Tamandua tetradactyla: one gene and its partner. The protein of the gene in region 2 purifies or fractionates together with the protein of the main gene of each other region. This does not show direct contact. Links are inferred from orthologs where the notes say so. Each region holds a gene or a part of one and is shown on either strand. Other genes may lie near its edges.

The links.
Region 1: the proteins of CHTOP (region 2) and ERH purify together in Homo sapiens (affinity purification with mass spectrometry; 3 studies listed by BioGRID and IntAct, with this or other methods). This does not show direct contact. The link is inferred for Tamandua tetradactyla from reciprocal best matches to the Homo sapiens genes CHTOP and ERH.

What each region holds. Positions count from the first base shown.
Region 1 is NC_135338.1:27,265,801-27,278,310, forward strand, and holds the start of ERH (enhancer of rudimentary homolog), read right to left. Parts: upstream 4,679-12,510; 5' UTR 4,549-4,678; coding exon 4,546-4,548; intron 1,055-4,545; coding exon 967-1,054; intron 1-966. Other genes in the region: SLC39A9 (zinc transporter ZIP9), read left to right, coding at 5,708-5,803. UniProt on the Homo sapiens protein: May have a role in the cell cycle.
Region 2 is NC_135330.1:6,431,213-6,443,744, forward strand, and holds the start of CHTOP (chromatin target of PRMT1 protein), read left to right. Parts: upstream 1-6,104; 5' UTR 6,105-6,434; intron 6,435-7,427; 5' UTR 7,428-7,444; coding exon 7,445-7,509; intron 7,510-8,854; coding exon 8,855-9,008; intron 9,009-9,599; coding exon 9,600-9,683; intron 9,684-11,409; coding exon 11,410-11,596; intron 11,597-12,385; coding exon 12,386-12,523; intron 12,524-12,532. Other genes in the region: S100A1 (protein S100-A1), read left to right, coding at 3,170-3,310, 4,638-4,781. UniProt on the Homo sapiens protein: Plays an important role in the ligand-dependent activation of estrogen receptor target genes. May play a role in the silencing of fetal globin genes.

The DNA of each region.
Region 1 (12,510 bases), on a different chromosome or scaffold from region 2:
GGTAATACAGGTAAGATAACAAACTGCTAAGGCAGTTTGTGCACAATGTCTGCCTTTCTGAGAAATAAGGATGCCAGCAGAGGAATGGAACTAAAAAAAGCAACCAGAACAAGAGCCTTAGTCTCCTTTAAAAATTAGAGAATTTGGTGGCAACGAGGAAGGAAAGGTACCAGCTACCTAGAAGCTATCTCTGTATTTTTTCCCACAGGCCTACCCACTATTGGCTTAAAATACCAAATTAGTTTTGAATAATCAACAGAATCAGGAATATGCCCCACAGCAAAACAAAATGACTTAAAAATCTTTATAGGAAGAAGCAAAGAAAGGACAACTGATAAAAAGGGTGTTGGAGGGTGCACAACTGCTCTACTCAAAGTAATGATTAAGCATAAAAATAAACCCAATTTGTGGAGAACCAAGCTATGTGCTCTTGTCTAATGCTTTACTGAGCACAGAAACATTGGGAGCTAAGTTCCTTTCAGGGTGGTACTGACTTATCAAGTGTATAATAAATTCCACTGATTTAGGTTCCTTTTGTCTTTATCCTCGGAACTAATCCTTATGTTCTAACAACATTCTGATGGGCTACAGCCAAATCTCAATGGCTTAACTCTACAGTGGTTGAGTTGAACCAGACTGTACAAGGGATATCTTAAATATATTTACATATTATATAAAATAGCAAAAGGCTTTGAAAAATCATTCATTCATTTTATTTGTTTATATATACATATATGAACTTGATTAAAAAAGTAAAATAATATTTGCCAAAAAACCCTGTATAACTAACGTTTCAAATATTCAGCAAATCTAGTCCTAAATATCTATGTTCCCTGCTCAAGCTAATAGTTCATCAAATCTGGAGGAAAATACAAATCCAGTTCCTAAATGAGACATATTCTAATAGTGAATGTCAGGTAACAAAATAACAAAGATTTCTACCCCCTCAATTATTGATAAACTCACCTTCCATGCACTCATTCACTGATTCATAGTCAGCATAAGTTCTGCCTTCTGGCCTCTTGGTAGGCTGTACCAGCAAGATGGTGTGAGACTACAAGAGAAAAAATTGATTTCATATAAGCTTCTAACTCACATTTGAGAAATTCATGGTATGATATAAAAATCCCCCTTTGGCACATGATTTTTGGTTGTTAAAACATACCTAAACCAGGATGCCCACCCTGCCTTTGCCCAATGTGGTAGCAAAACCAGGATCCACATCTCCTCAAGGTCACTATATTAGTCCCCCAGGCCTTAATGACTGCTTCTTCCTCAAACTCCTATTCCATTTACAGCCTGTACTTAATCTGCATAAGCTACCTCATGGTGCTTTCTCTTCTATCTTTTCTCCCCAATTAGGTTATAAATCATGTTAGGCATTCTATCTCTATTAGTCACTTTCTATCTTCTGTCCCATTAAGTCCCTAATAAAAATTTAGGTGTAGGCTAATTAAGAGAGAAAAGGGGAAACACTATAATCATTGCAAACACTTTATCAACCCATTTTCTTTTTCCACTTCCAACAACAGTGGAGTCGCTTCTTATCCAGGGGTTAAACTCAAACATCAAGATATAAAGTAAAACTGCAATACAAAATTAATATTAATATAGTTAATGTTACTCTAGAAAACACATTAAATTATTCACTTAGCAGATAACTTGCTTTATTGGGCTATTTTTACCAAATCACAGATTTTTAAACAATAGAGTCATACAAAATGGTTAAATAATCACACTAAAATGTGCCAAAGAAAAACTGACAGATTCTTATTGCCCACCTCATGTTCATGGTGGGGGTGGGGAGCGGGGGGTGGGTGGGAGGGGGTCGAGAGAGGGCAGGCACATGCTTACTTTAGTTGGTCTATTTTAGGGATCCTCAATCTTTGCACTGTGGACATTTTGTGCTTGATGACTTTTTGTTGTGGGGATTTGTGTTGTGCATTGTATTGTAGGCAGCTTATGGGCATCCCTGGCCTCCACCTATTACATGCCACTGTCAAGTTGTGACAACCAAAAACGTCTCCAGAAATTACAGAATGTCCCTCAGCAGAGAAAACTGCACCTGGCTGAGAAAATACTGATCTATAAAATTATTACCCCACCAATTTTTGCAAGGTATGTAAGACCGGTTAATTAAATTCAAGTTATGATGCATCCACAGTAAACCCTACCTCAAACCAAACCTTTTCTTTTTCTGTACTAGTACTTTGGGGCAAAAAAATCTCATTATGAAAAGTCATTTTGAAATGATCAGAACTTTTAACGATCAACAAATTGGAGTTGAAACATCTGACACCCAGATTTTATGAGTAAGCAAATGAAAAATAGTACCTTGAAGGCAATATGTAAAGCGAAAGGTTATCATACTCTTCCCTCTTCATCAAGAACTGAGTTATTCTGATGAAAAGCTTGAGAGGGTTTAAAATCAACTTGGTATCAAAAGATGAAGAATAATTAATCTTCACTCACCTATAATGACCTGCAAACAGTCAGAACCTTTGCTAAATAATAATTAGAGTAAAAGCTAGATAAAGTATTACAGATTATTTGTTACCCAAAAGTTTTTGTAGGGCAGGCCACAGTGGCTCAGCAGGCAGTTCTTGACTGCCATGACAGAGACCTGGGTTCAATTCCCAGTGCCTGCCCATGCAAAAAAAAAAAAAAAGGTTTTTGTAAACCACCCAACCAAAAAAGGCTGTTTTAATGGCTCATTTGTTGAGAAGCTAATAACTTTATAGCAACCATATTAACATCTCTGCAACAGGGCTTGTCCTATACATTAGCTATACCAGTTGCTTCCATATTATTTTTGTTCTTGTTCTAATGCAAATTAAAGGACTAATTTATTTGAAAGGATAACACAGGAAACTGAGGGAAATGGATACAGACTATGCTGTTTTTTATATCCAGTCATAAACGTCTCTGGGCAAAAGCTTATTCTTCTCAATATAGACTGCCAAAAGACAAGGATTAAAAATTATTAAGACTATTACAGGACTAAATTCACAAAACTATCATCAAAATAGTTATTTTTAAGTGGCAGTACCTTCCTGTTACCAATTTTTTAAGATCATAATACTTCCCAAACTGGTTTTGGTCACGGTTTTCAAAATCCTTTGGATTATTTTATTAAAAATCCAAATGTAATTGTCCAAACAATTTTCCCTTCTTTGCAGATTTGGTCCTTGCCTCCTTATAGCCTTAATTCTTGGGGGAAAGATCAAGACAAAAATATAGATATCTTTTTTTCTATTTACCACAACTGAAAAAAAAAAAAAGATTGTTAAAACTCAGTCAGGAAAAACAAAACAAAAAAAGCACAATTCCAAACACAAATCTAAGAATAGTCATGTGCTATTGCAGAAATATTAAATAAACAATTTGCTCATTAGTGTCAAATGCTCCCTCCAAACTACAAAAAAAAAGAAAAAAAGAAATTGCAGCTTGCATTTCCAATAAGGCAAAAGTACTTAAAGGCTTTCAGACCAATTATCATTCACTTCAATTACTACTTCTAATTTTCAATTTTACTCAGACAGAATAAGGAAATATCACTGATATTTGCCCAACCAGATGGGTTGTTGCTATTACGTGCTGTCATTTTCTTAGATTTTAATATGAACATTTTAACAAAATAGCCAATAGTGTCATAAAGGCAGAGAAAAACCCATAAAGGTAAAATGACTTGCTCAAGGTCACACTGCTAGTTACAGCAAAACCGGGACTGTAACCCAGTCTTCTGATCAGAAAAACACAACTTAAGTCAGTACCTTGTTAACAATTACTGAATTGGCAATTACAAAACCAGCAACCAGAAAACCAAAGTTGAAGTGTGGAACTAACTCTGAGTCCTCATGATCTCTGTGAGCATCTCTTTTTTATGAACTAAAAACAAACAAAAAAACTCGATTCACTCAACTGCTATCCCGGTCGGATTCTAAGGGACCTAGGCCCTCAACTATGCCTCTCTTTTAAGCCTCCGGCTCCAAAATTATGTAAATAAGGTTAACAACAGGGACAAGAGCTGACGGAAATGTCAAATGGGCTTTCTATGGGTCTTGGAAAACAGTGTTTACAAACACAAAAAACAACATCAAAACATGTAACGCACAGGAAAACAAAAGGGAATGAGTAAGAAAAATTACAAAGCAAACACGACCCCTCTTGACCACATGCTGGGTGCAGTAAGGTGACTATGGCAGCTTCGAGAACAGGTTTGTCACACATCTCCCAGCCATTGTTCCTACTAAAGAGTTTGGAAAGAAAGCACACCATCCCTACGCCTCCCTCCAGTAAGCAACAGTCGGCAGAAAGCACATCCTCAGGCCCACGTCTCGCCTTGCAGGAGCCAGCGAGCAGGCGCGCAAATGCTTGGGCGGACCCGGGCTCCAGGGCCTAGCGCCAGGCCCAGCGTCTCTACGGCGGGAATGGGAAGAACTGCGGAGCAGCACGCTCGCGTTAGATAGGGGAGCCTGGATGATGTTTGGGGATGGGGTCACCCCGTAGACCAGAGATTCATGAAGCCGCTAAGGTCTGTCTCACCATCGCGCCAAACTCCTTCACTGCAGCCGCTGCCGACACCGCCGCACGCTAGCTGAGCCTCAACGCCGCCAACAGCCAATCCCCGCGAGAGGTGCCGCCGGAAGTCGTCAGAAGCGCAACAGAAAGAGGCTTTTGGATCATAGAGGCGCACATATTTCCGGCGGCTAGAGCAGATGCTGAATGCTTCAACCATTTTGGATAAGGGCAATTGGATGCCCGCGGAATGATTCGGAGGGCGAGAATCCTTTTTTTTTAACCAAGACGTTGCTTTCCATATTCTTGTTGTTATACGTACGGCTGGAGTGATCACCAGATAGTGCACGTGTATTCTTTCACTAGCCCTACTCAAAAATGGCGGCGGCATAGGTATCTAGGGCCACAGGTCTGTTGTAACCCGGAAGTGCCCTTCTAGAGGGGGTGGGGGGGTGAGTCAATCCGGAAGTGGATGTAATGAAGAGCTGCCACTTGGCGGCCATGGCTGCTTTAGTTTCGGCGGTTTCGGGTCAAGGCCCCGCGGAGTGGAGTAGCATGAGCAGCTCTGGGTATAGGGCAGAGACTACTTTGTATCAGCTTCGCTGCTGAATCCCTAGGACTCGTCGTTAAAGACCTGCAGGACTCCTTTCCCCATTCTAGACTTGGAGGAGAGTTTGCCGGGACTGGTGGGCTGGTCCCAGCCTTGGGAGGACCACCCGCAGGGTAGCCCCCAGGGGAAAAGGGACACCAGGAGAACGAACAGGTTCGCTTGGGTGACCCTCTTCTTCCTGCTGCCACCTGGGACGTTGTCTGTAGAGGGAGTGGCTCCGTTGTCCAATCTTTTTCCGACGATTGAAGACGTCTCTCGTTCGCACGTTTTCCGATTGACTTTTCCATCTCCAACGGTTCACCCACGGGAATCCAGTCACTGGCATCTAGGGGTCCAGGGACTGGGACTAAAGATTGCTGAAAGTTCTCTCTGGTGCTAATATCCGCAAAAGGGTTTGCAGGCACGTTCAAGAAAAAGGTTCCTCGAGAACACATCTGCTGGTGGGGAGGCCGAAAGAACTGGAAAGTCTACCTGTTCTCTTGGAACCACTACACGTGTTTAACATTTTAAGCATCTTTTGAAGTCACTGAAAATTTGTGGTTTTGTGGTGGTGGTGGATTTTGAATAAAGGAGGGCAGAATGGATGATTTCCTCTCCATTAGTCTACTGTCTGCGGCTATGTTGGTGGGATGTTACGTGGCTGGAATCATTCCCTTGGCTGTTAATTTCTCAGAGGTAAGATATTTTCAATTTTCTGTCAGCTGTCAGGAGGGCTGCTGGAAAGTGGAAACAGTTGTGAAGGGAAGCTACTTCCCAAGTTAACCTCAGAGCTGAAGATCTCATTAAGGAAGGACTCTCCTTTAAAAAGACATCACATTTAAAACAATAGGAACAAACCTCATATTCAGCATCAAGGGCCTGGGTATTTTGAACTCCCTGAAATTGTCTACAAAAATTTGGGGCCCTGCATTTTCATGGAGAGAGGCACTATAACATTCTTTTAATTCCAGGAAGTTCCCAGGAATCAAGGTTCCAGATTACTATCAAGAAAGATAAATAGAAAATGTTATTCGTCCATGAGTTGAAATAAATGTGATAACTTATCTTTTTGAGAAGGTCGAGCATATGTTTCTTGGGGATATCTATAAAGAACGAATGTAAGGGGGAAAAAATACTGGTTATTGTTAAACCAATTTTCCTTTTAAAGGAGATCACTGAAGTAGATATTCTAAAGTTTTCAAATCTTTGCTTAGAAATGAATTTTTTGCTAATATGTTTTGACATTTTGGTTTAATTGGCAGTTTGTCTTTTCTTGAGCAAATATTCACAACAGAGAGGGGCAAAGGTTGGATGAAAGCTTTGTTCAATGTAGATACAGATAGGTTCATTATTTAGAGGACTGTCAGATTCAGAGAGAACTGGATTTCATGAATCTTTCTTGGAGCTCTGGAGTAAAATGGTAAAATTGCCCCTAGTTTCACTTCCAGCCCTGAAAGTGTTATTGGAGGAAAGGGGACAATTGTATGGCCTGAAGTAGAAAGTAAAGATACAGATGAGGTGTGAGGAAGGATTTGAAGAAACCTGAGGGAAGAGGAGGCTTGGCAGGTGAAGGAAATAGTCTGTGGGTAGGAAAGATGGGACTATGTGTTTCCTACGCTACTATGGGTAGGGAAGATGGGACTGTAAAGCCCATAACCAAATGGAAGGAAGGCTTGAATTGCTGTTTCTCCTCTTCTGTTTCCCGTTTTATCCGCACTCCTCACTATCTAATGATGATAATGAGCTAACATTTTTTGAGCATGGACGTTAGCTGACTTCATTTTAAGAACTCAGTACAGATGAGGAAACAGGCTCTGACAGATTATATCATTTGAACAAGTTCATGCTGTGTGTTAGAATCAGAGCTGTTTTCTGCAGTTGTGTAGAGCTGAGTAGCGGCTGATTGTCGTGGTTTACCATGGCCTGTGAAGCCTGTTTCACTTATTTGGGTGACCTGCTTGTCCTGTACTTTGGTGACCTGCTATCTTGTATCAGACTTAAACCATATTTTCTTATAATTCTTCTAAAACTGTATTAGAAAAAAAAAACTATGTTAGAATTGAATTGACACTATTAGGGCTGGCATTTGTGGGGTGGTTTGTATATTTAAAAACTTACTAAGGGGGAGTGCAAGGGTAGTTCAGTAGTAAAATTCTCGCGTGCCATGCAGGAGACGGTGTTCGATTCCCGGCCTGTGCACTTAAAAAAAAAAATCATGGTGCTGCAATAACAGGATACCATATGGAAAAAGAATGAAATGTGACCCCAACCATACAGCATAAAAGAAAAAAAACTTATTGACGTAACATTTGTCAGGAATTATAACTAATTCAAATAAGCAAACAATAAAACATTTTTTCTATAAAATGTTTAGAACTTTTCCAAATTCAACATTTTTCTCAAATAATCTTAAATTATTATAGTAATGTGCAAGTATTTGCAAGTTTATTTTTTGCTGAAAGGAAATGTCTGTGTGAGTGGTGTTTTTAATCACGCATCGATAAAAATATTTAATATGCCATGTCATTTGTAGCTTTTGAAGTTGATGGTCAAATAGTTGCCCAGCAATAGGTCTTAAAATGTTATAAATCAGCATTCATAATGTCTTTATGTTTATATCAGTATCAATGCATTTTGAGCTGTTAGAATAAAACTGCAAGATATACATAGCTTAAAGAATTTTAGAATTCAACTGGTTTTCTGTCTCCTAGAAACGAAATATTTTTAAAAGACAAATTATACTATTATTGTAGACCAGTGTATCATGAAACTAATGAAGTGATAAATTTGAAAAATAAAGTTCATTCATGGGGGACTGGAAAGCAGAAGATAGCTCCCCCAAAAAATAGCACATAGCTTCCCAAACTCCTAAATTGGCTAAATTACTTTTCCTCTTTAAGAAGTCTTGCTTTTCTTAGAGACTAACATTTTTATAAATAAAAAGAGCAAGTCAACCTAATTTATTAGGTTCACTTTTAATTCCCTGAAAAGGTAAGCTTTTCATTCGTTTTCTTTATCTTGCTACTGCTTTGCCATTCATTACTTTTTTCTTCAGAATTTCTCAGAGCGGGAATAAAGGCCAGATGATCGATAAAACCATTAATTATGGCAGAGTTAGTATTCAGAAATGCGTTAAAATCAAACAGTCTGAAATTGTGTTAGCAGTGGTGCATACTTCCCACTCTGACCATTAGGAGGTTTATGTGGCACTGATTTCTCTTATCACTTTCTCCAACATTCCTCACCCCCTCAGCCACCTTTCTTAATACTTTTGTGACCTTCTTTCTTGCCTCTTGATGCAAGGATCAAGGATCTTGATGATCCTAGTGACTGTACCTTCATGCCTAGATAATTTATAAAATGAAGAAAACAATCTCTTATTCTCAAATACAGCTGTAAAGAACTCTGATTATCAAGATGTTCTCTTCTTCACGGGGAAGGAGAAAAACAAAACTTGTAAAGGAGGCCAAGATGTGCTTTATGCAAATGAGGTCCTATCTGTTAAAGGAGTTAGACTCACCATTTAAGCATTATCTTTTGTTTTTTAAGATTCATTTAATGAGCACTTTGGCTCAAAATAACATGCCACATAAGAAGGTTGAGATTCTGCAAGTTAAGATTAACTAGTATAAACCCAGTTAGCAGCTGCTCTGGATGATGAATGAAATTGAGATTTAAACTAATATACAAAGTGGGATTTTAGATGGATTATTTTAGGATTATTGTCTACCTCAGCATGTCTCCACCTTGTCATAGAGCTGATGACAGAGAGTAAGCTGTGTTTCACCAGAACTCCAGAGCAGTGCTCATCAGACGACCTGGGGAAGGACCAGTTTTTGTTTAATTTCCATTTCATTGCAGACAAATACATTTGTAAAATATCATCAAAGTGAAATAGGAAAATGAAGTGGGGGAAAAAAAAGACATTCACAGTGCAGGCCTAAGTGTGTCGTTCTGACAGCTTTTTCTCGTTTCTGTATTTTTTTTTGTTGAAGACCAGTTTGCATAGCATACTCTTGAGTTATACAATGGCACATTTTTCATATGTTAAAACAGTAATTAAACTATAGAGTTAACTATAGTTATGCAAATGAACTAGTGCTACTCTTACTCCAATAAAGAATTTAGGATAATTAATAATGCACTAATTTCAAAAGGAAATGTCTCAGACAGTGTAGTTCAAAGTCAGTGTGACTACTGAGCTAGTTAATTTCCATGTCTTTTCTGGTGTGAGGATAAAATATAAGCAAGGAGCTTAGAGAACTATGTCTATAGAACAAAATAATAGCTTTAGAAAAATTTGGGGGTTCTCAATGCTGATTAAAAAAGATAGTAAGAGTTTCATTTTTATAACTCTGTTCTGATTTGTAATTTTTAAAACTTTTATTTTGTAACAGACTTGTAATAACTGATGTCTCCCCATTTCCCACCATTTATTAAACCTATCTCTGCAACTTGTTTGGAATCTGAAAGGTGTTGATGGGGGTTGGCACTCTTATTCCACTTGGAGAGGCCAGGGGTTTTCCTCCAACCTCCCTGCTTCATAGTATTTTTTTTAGCATTTAACTTTCTTTTCTTCATTGTACTCTTTCTCATTTGGAGTTGTGTTTTGTTCTTTCATGTTTTAAAGTTTTATTTTGTGTCTGATTATAATAACTGGTGCATTCCTAAGTGTCTGTGGGGCTTGGAGTTGACACCAAATCAAAGGCTTATTGTGCTGAACAACAAATTCGTTCAGTAAACCTTTTCTCCAACAAGCTGTTCTGTTTGAAGTAGGTTTAACAGAGTTGCATTTTACAGACTTTTGCATTTGTCCGGCATAGTAACATTTTATTCTCTTATGGTTGTACAATAAGTTTTTTTTTGTCAATTTAGAATTTAATTTTTAAATTATGACATTTTAAACTTTGCATTCTCTGTAATTTGTCCAAATCTGAAAAGCAATCAATAACTTAGTCTTTCCCAAAATTTAAATTACAGATTATTGTCTAATAAAGATCTTTGCCTCATGAACCTAAATTTGAATCAAATAAAATGGATACAATCTGATTCGGTATTACTTTCCTGAAAAATCCTCTTTCCTCCAGCATAATATAAGGATAAGCATTATGGAAACTGCATACTAATTTTAAAGATAGTTAATATTTATTGTACCAGGCACTGATGTGCATTATCTCATTTAATTCTCAAGACAAGACTATCAGATAGATACTGTTAAACTTCACTTTACAAATGAGCAAACTAAGGCTTGAAGAAGCTTCAAACTTTGGTAGAGATGACATTTGAAACTGTAAGTGTAACTGTGTAAGTCAGTTTGAATCCCTGCCAGAGCACTTAAGATGACATTGCCTTTCCTAATGAACACAGTGTAAATAAGAAATGAAAATATGATGGCACCTTTAGCTCCTCAAATTAGAAACACCTTTAACATTTCTGACATTTTACCGTGGTGAATCTTATGCCTTATGCTTAGTTTGTGTAGCAGAATTTGAAACTCCAGAGGTCAACCATCTCCAAATACCATCAAAATTTACAGGAAGCATTGAATGTCTCAGGTGACTTTTAAATTAACACGTGCCAAATTGGAATTGGGCCTCTTCTTTAAGCACTCTGTCTCCTTCCTAGGCTAGTTACTGCTACTTATATCTGCTATTCCTATATTCTTTAAAATTCTTTTTTATTAGCTAATTCCTCATTACCCAATCCCCTGTTAGATTACTCTTTATATTAAACCTTCCCTATTCAAATTACTTGTCACTTTTCTTTCCTGTTTGGACCCTGACTTACACAGCAGGAAATAGGTCATAAAATCAAATGTCTACTGAGGCGGAACAGTCATCAGACCTAGGATAAAATAAAGCAGTCCAAGTGTCCTGATATGTGGCTGCTGAGTTTCAGCGTCATCACCTGGGAGACGTTAGGAAAGGGTGAAAACTGGTACACTGAAGAGTGTATGCCATTTGATAGTACCAGCCCTGGTGTTGCCAAATCTTCTGTTTTTCAGAAGCTGGAAATCTGGATTTTTATGTGAACTCTCCCAGATTTTACATTTTGGCTACTAATTCAAATATTATTACATTGCCATGGGGGAAAATGACCCATGTTTGTGAGTTGTCAGTTTAGAATTTATGGGCTAGGTGATCTGATTTCTAAACCCTCTGCAGACTAGAAACAGCAAATCAGAAGGGGTGGGGAGCAAGTGGAGAAAATAAGTCACAACATGCCAGCAAGGGAGGAGACTGCAAAACATTTCAAATGTTTACAAAACCTCAAAGTACAGTTGTTTAGGGTTGTTTAATACAATAGCAAACTCCTCTTTGCTCACATTAAGGCTATTGACAGTACAGTGATAACAGCTATAATGCCAACTTATGTGTCAGGTTCTGTGATGATTTTTTTTTTTTTTTTTTTTTTAAAGAGAGAGGAAGGAAAGGAAGGAAAGACAGAGAAGGAAGGAAGGGAGGAAGAAAGGGAAACATTTTTAAACATTTTCTTGTTTTTTATTATATTTTGTTTGTTTGTTTTTTGTTTTTTACATGGGCTGGGGCCGGGAATCGAACCGGGGTCCTCCGGCACGGCAGGCAAGCACTCTTGCCCGCTGAGCCACCGCGGCCCACCCCTGTGATGATTTTAATAGTAGTATTGAAAGGGAAGAATTCTTGTCCTGTTCATAGATGAGGAAACTGAGCCTTAAAGTTTATTAAAGTCCAAACACATTGTATTATATAGCCTAGCCTCTAATTAAATTAACAAAACTTTTTTTAAAAAATCCTGGCTAGATAAGTAATACAGGCTCTTGGTAGATATTTTAGAAAATATGATATTAAAATCCTCTATAACCCAGCATCCAGTGAGAATCAGTAGTAATACTTTTATTAGTTTCCATTCTCTTTTCTGTTCGTTTGCATCCTTAACATGGCAGATTTGTAGTTTATGTGTAATTTTATATTCTTTGTTTTTTTACTGGAGAGTATATCATAAGTGTTTTCCTTTATCGTTAAAAACTTTTCTTAGTAGTTACATGGAAAAATTTTATCATGGGATTCCCCCTTTTTTAATTGTGAAATATAATGTATATACAAAAAAAGCAATAAATTTTCCAGGTACATTTTAACAAGTAATTCTAGAACAGATTTTAAAATTTGTTATGGGTTACAGTTCCATGACTTTTCATTTTTTCTTCTAGCTGCTGCAAGACACTGGAGACCAACAGAAAAAAATCAGTATAATGATTAAGCAGTCATATTCATTTGTTAAATCCTATTTCTCTATTATACTCCACGTTTTCTTTAAATAACATATATACATAAAAGCAATAAATTTCAAAATACATCACAAGAATTAGTTGTAGAACAGATTTCAGAGTTTGGTATGGGTTACAATTCCACAATTTTAGTTTTTTT
Region 2 (12,532 bases):
GGACACCCACAGCCCCGGGGAGGGGGCTCGGACTGAAGCAAGGGCACGTGCCCGGTCACCCCTCATGCGCCCATCCGTCCACACCCGCCACCCATCCCTGCACAGACTGCTGCTTGCTCTCTCCAAGCCACTTCCGGGATCCCCGTCGGAGATGCCTCCGGGGGAGGGAGCTGGAGCCCCGGGGAGGAAAGAGGGTGCCCAGGTTCTCCGGAGAGGAAGGGGGATGCGACTCACCAGGGCTAGGAGATGGGGTGCAACGAGCAGGAGCCTCGGGGCTGAGGTTTATAGGCGTCTGGGGAGGGAGGAGCCAGCGGCTCGCAAGCCCCGCGGGGCGAGTTTCCTCCGCGGGTTTTCTGGCGGGTGCCGCCCCGCCCCGCCCCCGGCCCGGAGGCCCCGCCCCCGAGCCCCCCCCCGTCGGGGACGCGCCCCCCCCCGCCCCGCCCGCCCCGCCCCCACTTGGGGCTCCCCGAGCTGCCTGGACAGACCCCGCCCAGCGGGGACCCGACCGTCCCAACACCTGGGAGCGCGCTAATCACCCCCCGCCCACCCCCACCCACCCCTGCCCTCCAATCGGGAGCCCAGAGACGCCCCATCAGAGAAACACCACAAATGCCCCCTCAGAATGAAACCCCACAAAGAAAGAGGTCCAGACTGACATCCCCAAGGAAGAGTCCCCGCATTGAATCTCTCAGAGGGATCACAGCCTGAACCCCAGGGAGATGCCCTAAAACTAACTTACTCACTGAGGGTCCTCAGGGGTCCGCGTGGAGGAGACCTGGGCTCCGAGGCCCTCAGAGTGGTCCTCGCTGAACAGCAGGGCTCAGCCGTGGCAGGGGCTCCACTGCCCAGCGCGGGTGAGGCGCCCCAGGGTCCCCCCCAGACCTGCCTTCCCCACCTCCCCTCCTCCTGTGTGCCCGCATGCTGGTGCCCAGCGAGGGAGAAGGGGAGCAGAACATGGCTGGGGAAGAGAACACAGGGTGGCCTGTTCCAGCCTGGAACACAGAGGGCGCCTCTGTCCACTCCTGGCCCCTTGCCCTACTGGGTGTCCGTGAGGGGGTGGAGCCGCGGGGGGGGCAGCGGGGTAAGGACGACTGAAGACAGGTCTCCCCACACAGCTCTGAAGCCACATTAGCAGCCTGGCCTGGCTGTCCAGAACCTGCTGTCATCTGCAGCCGGAGCTGACCGTGAGTACCCTGCCCCACCGAGCCAGGTCCCGGCCCAGGCCAACTGGGGGATAGGGGGCTTCAGAGGGGCTCCAAGGCTCTGGGGACAAGGACATTGTGGCAGACTGAGGGTCCAGGAGGAGTTCATCAGGATGGCAACAAGGTGGGGTTCGGGGGAGATAGGTTTTGGAAGGTGGTAAGGAGAGGCAGGTAAAGGTCAAGAGAGATGTGGGAGCATGGCAGGCAAGGAAACCAATGAGGTGCCTGCCCCTGAGCCCCAGGCCACAGGCCCCCACCAAGGAGCCCTCGAGTCCCCTGCCAGCTCTCCCTCAATCTCCCAGGAACCGAGGTGGGCACCCAGCCCTCCCTGTGCTTCCACTGGGTTAGAACAAGAGAACAGATAGACCCACTGCTTCTGGCCCCAGCCTCAGTCTCTGCCACCTCTGCCCACCCTGCCAAGAGCTCAGGTCCCAGGGAAGTCTGGAGGTGGCAGGGTGTGGTCATGTGATACCAGGAAGAAGGGGTACAAGGATATTGTACCCACTTCCAATTCCATCCCCACATGGCCTCCTCTTTCTCCTCCTCCCCTCTCTTGGCCTAGAAATCCAGACTCCTCTTTCTCTGTTCTCTTTGTTTGCCCATACCCACCCCCACCCCCACACTGCCGAAGAGCTCCTTTCAGAACTCCCCAGCACAAAACCCCAGCCTTCTCGAGGGCTCCAGGTGCCCCTCCTGGATGAGGCTGGAAACCGAGCCACCAGCACCTTCCCTCACACGCCCCCTTATCCTCTCCATCAGCCCCAGCTTGGATTCCATCTCTCCTCTGTCTCTGTGACAAATGCTTCTCATGTCCGGAGTTCAGGTGACACTCACAAGGGCCCCATTGAAGAGTTGGGATGTCATACGATCAGGGCCCATTGTTCAGCCCCCCACCCCGGGAAGGATGGGGACATCTGATCTGAGACATCTGAGCTGCCCCCTGAGACTGGGGAGGGGCTGACAGCCCCAGAGACAAAGGAAAGAGACCCACTGGCTTGACGGTCTCCCCTCTCCAGCCTCAGCAGTCCTCTCCATTCTTCTTCTCCCTCCCAGCCCCTCAAAGGACCTCAGGAATTGAGTCTTTATCTTCCCCAATACACACCGGCCCCATTCCCCCTTCTCTCACTGTCCCCACATCAACCAGGCTAGGCCTGGGGAGACAAGGCCCTACAGGTCTCCCCTCCCCCTCCCTGGGAGCCCTGGCTCCAGGGATAAGCCTCAGACATTCCTGTCCGTTCCCACCATTCCTCCAAGGGAAAGGCTGATTCTGCAGAGATGCAAGAGGAGCTGAACCAGAGGCAATGAGAGGCCTACCTCAGGGAAGCCAAAATGACGTGTTCTGGAAAGAACAAAGTTGAGGGACCAAAAGGAGCCCCCAAGCTGCTGACAGATAGCTTAATGGCTGTGAAAACCCCCCAAGGAGTCTTAGGCCACTCACTCCGACTGTCTCCCCTCCATTCAGGCTCACCAAGAATAGCACACTGACTCCTTGCTAATGGTGGGCCACAGAGTCAAGACCATGGAAAGGACCCCAGCTCACTGTCCCCAATAGCACACAGAGCCCGGCTATGCGGGCAAATGAGGCGCAGGGTAAAAATAGATTCAGAGGCAGCCTGGCCAGGCCCTGTGACCACTTCTGCCTGCCCCACCCTCCTCAGGCCTCTAGAGCCAGCCCAGTCACTCTCTCTCCAATGCCCCAAACCCTGTCTGGCTGGAATATGGATTAACGGACCCAAAGAGCAGGACTGGATTTAGTTCTGCCTGAGTTTTCCCTATTATAATATCTCAGTGAAGGGTGAATTGCTGTGGGGCTCCCATCTCGTGAGGGTTCGGACTGTGGGGTAGAGCCAGGCTTGAGACCAAGATTCCTCCCCGCCACCCCAACCCCGGATGCCCTGGGTCTGGTCCCCCACTCACTTCCATGGCGTGTGTGCTTGTGTGTGGGGGTGAACAGGTGAGCTGCCGCAATGGGCTCTGAGCTGGAGACGGCCATGGAGACCCTCATCAACGTGTTCCACACCCATTCCGGCAAGGAGGGGGACAAGTACAAGCTGAGCAAGAAGGAGCTGAAAGAGCTGCTGCAGACCGAGCTCTCCGGCTTCCTGGACGTGAGTGGGCAGAGGGTGGGATGGGCAAGTGGGCAGAATGGGGTGGACACGCTCCTGTCATCTCCAGTCCCGCCCCACCCCACCCCCACTCAGCCCAGCCTTCTCCCTGCTCTCCTAGACCTCTCCTGAATTTTTTCCAGGCCCCCCTACTCTTCCTGGTGCAACTCAAAATGCCCTGGTTTACTTGCATCTGATGCGCCTTTTATCTAGCATATGGATAGAGGAGTAAAAAATACGGATACAAAATAAACAAATAATTGGGGGGGACAAAGGTTAAAATAAATCAGGCAGTTGGAAATACTAGTGGTCAATGAGAGGGAAGAGTAAGGAGTATGGTATGTATGAGTTTTTCTTTTCTCTTTTTATTCCATTTTCTGGAGAGATGCAAATGTTCTAAAAATCGATCATGGTGATGGATACCCAGCTATGTGATGATATTGTGAGCCACTGATTGTACATGTGTGGAATGTATGTGTGCTAAGATTCATCACCGAAAATATTTTTTAAAAACAACAAAAATGCCCTGGTTTCTTGATCACCTGTTAAGTGAAGGCTGTGTATAGATTCATCAATAACAAGGCCGGAAGTACAAAGAGCTCTTAGAGGTACCTGCAAGGGGATGGGAGAACATTAACCTGATTACAGTGGGATGGCTTTTCCAAGGACATGCCACTTGAGCCATGGATTTCCACTGGCAGGTTATTGGGGTAAATGAAGACATTTTAGGAGGCAGTATCAGCATGAATAAAAACATGAGAGAAGAAAAGAAGGTGGAGCATGCTAAGTTTAATTTGACTGGAGTGAAGGATGCACAAAATTAGGCCACAAAAGCAAACGGGGGCCCTACGGTAAAAGAGAACCTTCAGGATACAGTAGGAAGTACACAGACACTTTATTTTTATTTATTTATAGACCCAGATTTGCATTCTGACCCTATCACTTTCAAGCTGTGTGACTTTGGCAGCTTGCTTAACCACTGACTGTCAATTCGTTTCTTCTCTAAACTGGGAATAATGAAATCTACCTCTCATAAAAAAATCTATTTTTGTGAGGAATTAGACAATGCCTGTGGAGCTTGGCACATTGAAGGCACTCCGAGGATGGTCACAGCTGTGACCATCGTTACTCCGCGCTGTGGAGGAGCTCATCCTGTGGGCAACAGGAGCCCATGGGTATTGGGGTTTTGAGGAGGGGAGCACAGGAGTCCCATTCGATGTAGTTCTGCCTCCTTCTCAATCAACGACCCTCCTTGCTCCTAACTCAGCGTCAGGCACGCTGGACTCGCCGTGCCACCGCCTCTCCCCCTCTCCCCTTCTCCCCCACCCAGGCCCAGAAGGATGCGGACGCGGTGGACAAGGTGATGAAGGAACTGGATGAGAACGGAGACGGAGAAGTGGACTTCCAGGAGTACGTGGTGCTGGTGGCCGCCCTCACCGTGGCTTGTAACAACTTCTTCTGGGAGAACAGTTGAGCAGACACCCCCAGTGGGCAGCGCCCTTCCCCTCCACCCTGGCAGATCTGCCCTTTGATCCGGCTTACCTCCCACCCCCTTTCCCCTCCCCACGCTCCTCCCATCCCCATCAAGGGCACAAGAGTAGTGGGCCAGGCCTGCAAGTGCACTTACATTAAAGGCTCTTCTTTGGCCAGCCACCCACTGTCTGCCTCTTCTGTAGCCCAAATGTTGGAGAGCTGCTTACTTCCAATTTGCCTAATTTGGGGAGAGGCCTTACGCCGCCGGGAGGTGTCTTACTGGGGGGAGGGGGGGGCATATACAGTCCTACTTGAGAAATGCTCAAGGCCCATGAACGTGGGGTTTCAACTTTCCAGCTGGAAGCTTCTAAGCTATAGAGCCAGAAGAATCTCTCCCTCAACACTCAAGAATATTTACTGAAAACCCTAAGCTGGTGTTCTGAAGGAACCGGGGATAGAGCAGTGAACAAGACACAATTCCTGTCCTTACTGGACTTGGGCCATGTAAAGTCTAAAACGTGTGTGTGTTTAGACTACTAAACACACACAAAGCCACGTTCTAGGAAGGAAAATAAATGGCTCCTCATGAGTGCATACGGGGTAAAGGAAGAGATTCAGGATGAGTTCATTCCCTCATTCCTCAAACATAGGAGCACTTTGTTATGGACCAAACCACAGGGAAAACCCCACAGGTCTAGGGATGGGAGGTCCGGAAGGCAAGGGGGAAGGAGGGCGCGGAAGGGACACAAACGTCTCCCCTCCTCCCCAGTAAGGCTTAAACAGCACTCAGACCAACTGCGGGAGGGAAAGAAGTGGAGAGGAAAATACGGACGGGGATGTGTGTGTCCTAAAGCGGCCTCCGCGGCCCCGGCTGGCGGCACTTCTCAACGCTGAACCGGGCTTATGAGGATAAAGGAAAAAACAGTAAACGCCCCGGGTCCGGGGGTCCGGGGGAAAAAAACCGGGGAGAATCTCCAGTAAAGACTTTTAGATGGTCTGCCTTAACTGGGGAAAGGGCGACAGAACACAAGTTTCATTTTTCATCGGGGCACAAGCCCCTCTCAGCGTCCGTGACTAGCCACGACCCAGGGAGAGTACGGTGCTAAGTCCTGACGCCACGGGCCAGAACACCCGTCCGCCCCGATCCCGGGTCCGCTAGCCACGCCCCCTCGCCGTCCGAGCGCGGCGTAGTTACGCAAACGTGCCTCGGCAAAACCCCACCTTCTCCCTCGAGCCCCACCCCTGGCCCCCGCGCGGGCGTACCACAAACGTTTCCCCGCCCCCCGGTTGTGCGCGGATCTGACGTCTGATGTAATGGCGTCGACGCCATTTTAGCCGGCCCCACTCCGCACCGGGCGTGGCGGCCATTTTGTTTTGGACACCGAGCGGGAGTTGGTGGCAGCTGTGGTAGCACGGACGAAAGGAAGGAAAGGGCAGGCCGGGTGAGCACAGAGACCGGCCGGCCAAACAGCCGAGGACAACCACGAGCTAACCTAGCAACCTACCGCCTTCGTATCTAATCAACCGCCCACCAAGTTAACCCGAGCTCCCCCGCCGTCAACTCGGGTTCGGCCGGTCTCCGGCCTGCCTGCCTAGCCGTGGTGGCCGCCCCGGGAGGAGCACTGGCGTCCGTTTCCTTCGGTGCGTTTCTGCGGTGAGAAGAAGAGGGGAAAAGTGTTGGGGAGCGGGCCGAGCTGGCGGGCGCGGAATGGGGTAGTGGGGTGTGGGAGAAGTTAGGTTGCCATGTTGGAGCGTGGAGGCCCAGGGAGGGGGCGGAGGCCCGGAGGAGGAAGCGGGGGAGGGGCGGAACTGGAAACTGGTGGGGTTTGATGGAGAAGTTTGGGATACAGTAGTGGAAGAAAGGAAACTTAGCGTCTTGAACAAAGTTGGCGGCCTTGACGGGACTTTGAGATGGTAGGGAGGTGAAATGAGGACTACGGGGCTTTGGGGAATGTTGGAATGATGACTTTAGGGTTAAATACTGTGGAGGGCTCTCTGGGAGCTAACTTCCTGGTGAATGCCCATTTAGGAAACCTTTTCTCGTCCTTCCCTTAGGTTCCTAGTTCCCTGTTAAGCTCGCTGCAAGTTTTGGAGTCGAAAGTCAGTATTGAAACCACTCATGGTCATGCTTGTATCTTCCCTCTAGATCAGTAATTCTCAACTTTGGCTGCATATAGGAGCACCCAGGTAGCTTTTTTAAAAAAAACAAAAAAGCAAACAACAAAAAAAAAACTATTGCTAATCCCCAGATCCAAACCTTAGAAGGTGGTAGTTTAATTGGTCTGGGACCAGACTTCGGTGTTTTTTTGTTTGTTTTTTTCTTTTTGACTCCCAGGGTAAGTCACATGCAGTCAAGATTAAGAATGACTACTCTAGACTGAAAGCCAAAATTAGCACTTATTTAGTGCTCTCTGGCTCTGCCATCTTTGGAGACTTGGCAGATACTTTCTGTTCTGTAGCAGTGAAGTTTTTATAGTTTGAGGTAACAGTCTTACAAAGGTAAGCACCTGAAGTGAGTTTTGATATGCTCATCATGATAACAATTGTCAGTGATACAAATCTTTTAATTCATTGTTGGTGTGGGCCTTGGCCCTTGTAGAAATGGCCATTCTGCTTTTCTGCTCATTCTGTCTATTGTCCTTTGTAGATTCTCGGGATTTGAAGATGGCTGCACAATCAGCACCGAAAGTTGTGCTAAAAAGCACCACCAAGATGTCTCTAAATGAGCGGTGAGGCAGCCAACAGCAACTTCAGCGCGTTCATAAGAAAACATTGTTAAATTGGCCCTGGGGTCCAATGCACAAAAACCGGTTTTAAACTAACTAGATACCAACAGAAGGCTACAGACCTCTGTTCCTAGTTGCATCTTATGTGGTACACAAAACAAATTGGGCGGTTGTTTCAAAACCCCTTATCAGTAGCTTTTTATGTTAAGCTGTCTGAAACATTTATCTGGTGGGATGTATTTGAAAAGGACTCCTCACACCCTCCCTTTTCTTCACATTTTTTTTTACATTGATACAGGGGTGGTGCAGCGTGGTAGCATGGTACCCTGGCTGCAGTTGGCTTGTTGCCCAGTCCAAGGCCAGCAGTGTTGTGTTTGGCCTGTAAGAGGCAGGTAGCAAGCCGTGAATCTGTCCAAAGGCCCTTGAATGTTGTTCTTGGACCTTGTAAGAGGCACTTGCTTTGCTCCATTTCACTTTCTTTCCATTCTGCTTTTAATTTGTTTTTGTTTTGTATTCTGTAAACATTACGTGTTCTCTTCCATTTCATTAAACTTACCTTGACAGGAGTAATAGAGAAGTGTCTTCACAGGCTCCTAAATGATTCAGCTAATGTCACTTAATATAACTTTATCAGAAGTAATCATATGGAGCCAGAAAAGGTGATCATTCAAAACTGAGAAAAGGTGTGTAAAGGCAGTTTCTATCTTGAGGAGCTTTATTCATTGAGTGCCTTTGGTCATTTTATTAAGTTGATGATAGACCACTAAGATTTATTTAATATATGTTTTTGCTTTTCTGAAACATATGTGCTTCTGTCTTTTAGGGTACAGTACTATAATTAATTATCCATGTTCACATGCAACTAAGTGAATAAATATAGAAAAATGTGATATATTCCTAAAATGCATGTGGGTGTTTGTATATCCCATTAGTATGGCTTTGAAGGTACTCTAATCCTTCTTCATATTTGCCCTTAGAATGCACCCTCGGGTCTTCCAAGGTTTTGGTTTTCTTCATTTGTCTTTGAAACTACATTTTCTGTCTCTTGTCATCGTATCTGCTTATTGCGTGTTTTTCATATTTTCCACCTCTCTAAAAGCCGTTACCTGAGCCCTTGTTATCACTTTTGATTGAATGTGCCGCACTTAGCTGCATTTCTCAGTTTCTGATTCTTGCAAGTTTGTGGAAACAGAGGAGTCTTTAACCCACATCAGCCTTGATCTAAGTGTACCACTTTACTTAAAAGTTCGTGGGATCTGGAGCTCCTGATCTAGCAAGCCATGAAAATGCCAATAAATGTTTTATAATAAAGCTTTTATTTAAACATCCATTTTGTTCGACCTTGAAGCTTTACTAATATGCTGAAGAACAAACAACCGATGCCAGTGAATATTCGGGCTTCGATGCAGCAACAACAGCAGCTAGCCAGTGCCAGAAACAGAAGACTGGCCCAGCAGATGGAGAATAGACCCTCTGTCCAGGCAGCATTAAAACTGAAGCAGGTGAGAGAATGGGTTTTAATACTCCAGAAGCAGCTGGTGATCTCCGTCAGGCAGTCCACTGAGGCTGTCAGGATGTGATGGTTGGTTACGTGGTGGCTCAGGGCAAAAGCTAAACCTTCTCTGGAGGAAAGAGAAGTTCAGAGAATTTCAATTTTGGCAGGTACTGATAAGTAACTTTTTTTAATATATTGTCTTTCTCTTTTGGGGAGTTTATCATCAGTGTGGCCTATTTCTGGATTATCGATGAGTGTTAATCTTTTTTGTTTTCCGATCCTTTACCCTTAAAGTATAATGCACCCTTTTTTCCACAAAGAAATCTGCTTTCTGTAATTTCTTCACTCCCTGTTAAATGGTTTTCAATTAGGGAAGTAATTTTATTATTTTTTATCTTTTAGTGTAGGATGGCTGAAAGGTCTTAGTCAAAGCTTTCCAGTGCTAAAATATGGAGAGTTGCATGACCCTTGTCTCCACAGCACCTAAGGTTTTATCAGTAGGATAGTAATTTAAGAGTTAGTGGGTTCTCTTTCAAATTTCCAGTAAAAGATAATCCTATTCAGACCTAAAATAAAACCTCCTCTTTATTATTCATAGACCTTATATGCAAGTCCGGACAGTGGCTGTGGAAGGATTTGTCCAAGCTGTGGCTGGGCGTCTGGAGGGCGGTGCCATGCAACTGTAAGGACTTTAACTGGTAGCGCTGCATGGCTGTGCATAAATTCAGCAGTTAAATATAACAACCCTCTTACCCCACCCTGAACTATTGGGCTCACTGATCAAAAATAAACGAAGCTTTCCATTTTGGCTACCATAAGCCTTTGGAGTGACCGGATCTGTCTCCGACCTAGGAAAGCAGTAAAAGGCACCACAATTTTCCAGGAGTAAATATTAAAAATTACTGAAAGTTAAGCCCTCAAAATGTAACTAGTGCTGTTACGGAACTGGGTTTTTAAATTTTTATTTCTTTTGAAATATAAATAGCCACATGTGGCTAATAGCTATATTATGATACGACACAGCTCTAGAGTGCAATCTGGTTAGTATAGTTGGCTTCTTTAAGCTTTCTGTCAGTGTTTGAGACCAGTATTGGTGCCACCTCAGGATTGAGAAGGGAGAGCTCCTAAGCACTGCATGGTTCTCCTTTTACCTTCTCTAAGCACAGCACTCAGCAACACAACGAACTTTTGAGATGAAGTCCTGACCTCATAATTGTGTGCTGTCCCGGGAATAATGTGAACAGGCCATTATCATTGGTTACACCTGCTGTCTGCCTGTTGGTAGATACACATTGAAAACTATTTAAGATCTTGTGCTAGTAAGTTAATTGTGCCTTACAGCATCTTTTTTGAGGATTTGATGGAAGAAAAAAAAAACGTTGGTAGTCAGTTGAGTTGAAACCTGAGGACACTTAGGATCTCTTCATTAATGCTGATTGCATTAGAGAAAGTCAGGTTTACTGAGGCCTTGGTTTTATTCAAGGCAGTATTGTCCCCTTTTCCTTTGAGGAAATTTAACTTTCTTAAGATAGGTCTTTATAAGTTTTTTTCTGAGGGACAGATCATTGAAAATCTCTGTCTCTCCAGTTATGCTTGTCTTCCGATGTTGCCCTGAAGTTTTGTGATTATAGACCCCGTCTTGATGCTAACATGAGTTTTGGCTGGCTCTCCGTGAAGATGTATTTGAGTTACATGTTTATTTTGAACTAAAGGACATTATGCTGGCTTATTGGAGTTGTTTGCAAAGATAGACATGGAACTCTGGATGTTTATGAAATGTAAGAAAAGAAAGTTTGACTTTTTTGTGTTTATTTACACCTTAAGGTAAAAAGTAGACTGTCTGGAGATAGATGCTCAGAGGGAAAGTGGAGCACTTTGGCCTCTTTGAGAAATCAGTCTTGTTCTTAAATCACAAGAACTCAAATGAACTTGTAATTTAAATTTTGCCTCGAGTGTGATGGCCTTCCTATGGTGTTTGAGTAAGCCTTTGGAGACAGTGTAGCCCTTGGGCAGGTATGAATCAAATCATATCATGGTCAACCTGTGGTTCAAAAATAGCGGAATCCAGGATTTGAACTAGTGTTAAGCTTACATGAACTTATTAAAACTGAAGTGCCAGGTGGTGGTGTGTGACTTCTGTAGCCAAACTAGATAATTTGTGGTGATGCCGATTTCATGGGACCATACTCACGCTTCTTAGAGTTTCTGCTCTGGATCAGAGTTCTGCTTCTTTTATACCCATGTTCTGAGGTAAAAGCTTGCTTCTGGTTTGGGATACTTCTGTCACCCACAGCAGGTTTATCTCCACACCAGGCATCTCACTTGCTTCTTTTTCTCTGCACTTTGAGTTGCCAGATCCTTTTGGCTTGCTTTTTTTGATCTCAATTCCCCAACACCTTTTTTTCCAGAAGAGCTTAAAGCAGCGTCTGGGTAAGAGTAACATCCAGGCACGGTTAGGCCGACCCATAGGGACCTTGGCCAGGGGCGCAATCGGAGGACGAGGCCTGCCCATAATCCAGAGAGGCTTGCCCAGAGGAGGACTACGTGGGGGACGCGCCACAAGAACCCTCCTTAGGGGCGGGATGTCGCTCCGAGGTCAGTGCTGTGTACTTGATAATTGTCAGACTCTACCCCTTCCCTTTTCTCTTGGGCTGCTTATGGACACATTTGTTTAACATCTTTAAGCCTGAATTTGTATTAATATAATTAATAACTTTTGAAATCACATATTTTTAATAGTGCTGCATGTCTTTTATCGATACCATTCCTTTTCTGGTAATATGCAATGGTGAGAGGCTATGACCTGCGTAATAACAGGTAATTCACGTCATCTCCATTCCATTTTAAAACACTCTGCTGCTTGAATCAGAGCACATTCACGTTCTAGAAATCAGTCAAATCTGAGAAATTTTATGGGTCACTTGGCCATCTCTATGTTCCTGGTGCTCATGAAGCAGTCTGTTATATCTGGAAAAAAGGACAAGTTGACCCATAGCACTTAACTGTGTTTCATTGTGGGCACTGTTACACTGTTCCCTCTATCATTCTCAGCCCCTGCGAGAACAAGAGCAGAAACAATGTCAGGTTTTTTTTTTACGAGCTAACATAATGTTAGGCATCTATCTGAATACTCAGTATTTATTAAATATATCTACTTACTAATTAACTTATTCCCACCTTCTTCCAAAAATGGATTTGTGGCCAGATTTGTTGACTTGATTGAATAAACAGCAGCTTAATCTGTTCATGCTCAGTGTGCAGCTTGCCCCACCAGACTTAAAAATTAACGAAAACTCATTTAACCCTTACCGCCTTCCTTTGGTTAGAATCTACATTGTCTCTCTTGGATTTACCTGCATATACATTGTATGCCTCCTCTCCAAGGTCAAAACCTGCTTCGAGGTGGACGAGCCGTAGCTCCCCGAATGGGCTTAAGAAGAGGTGGTGTTCGAGGTCGTGGAGGTCCTGGGAGAGGGGGCCTAGGGCGTGGAGCTATGGGTCGTGGCGGAATCGGTGGTAGAGGTTAGTCAG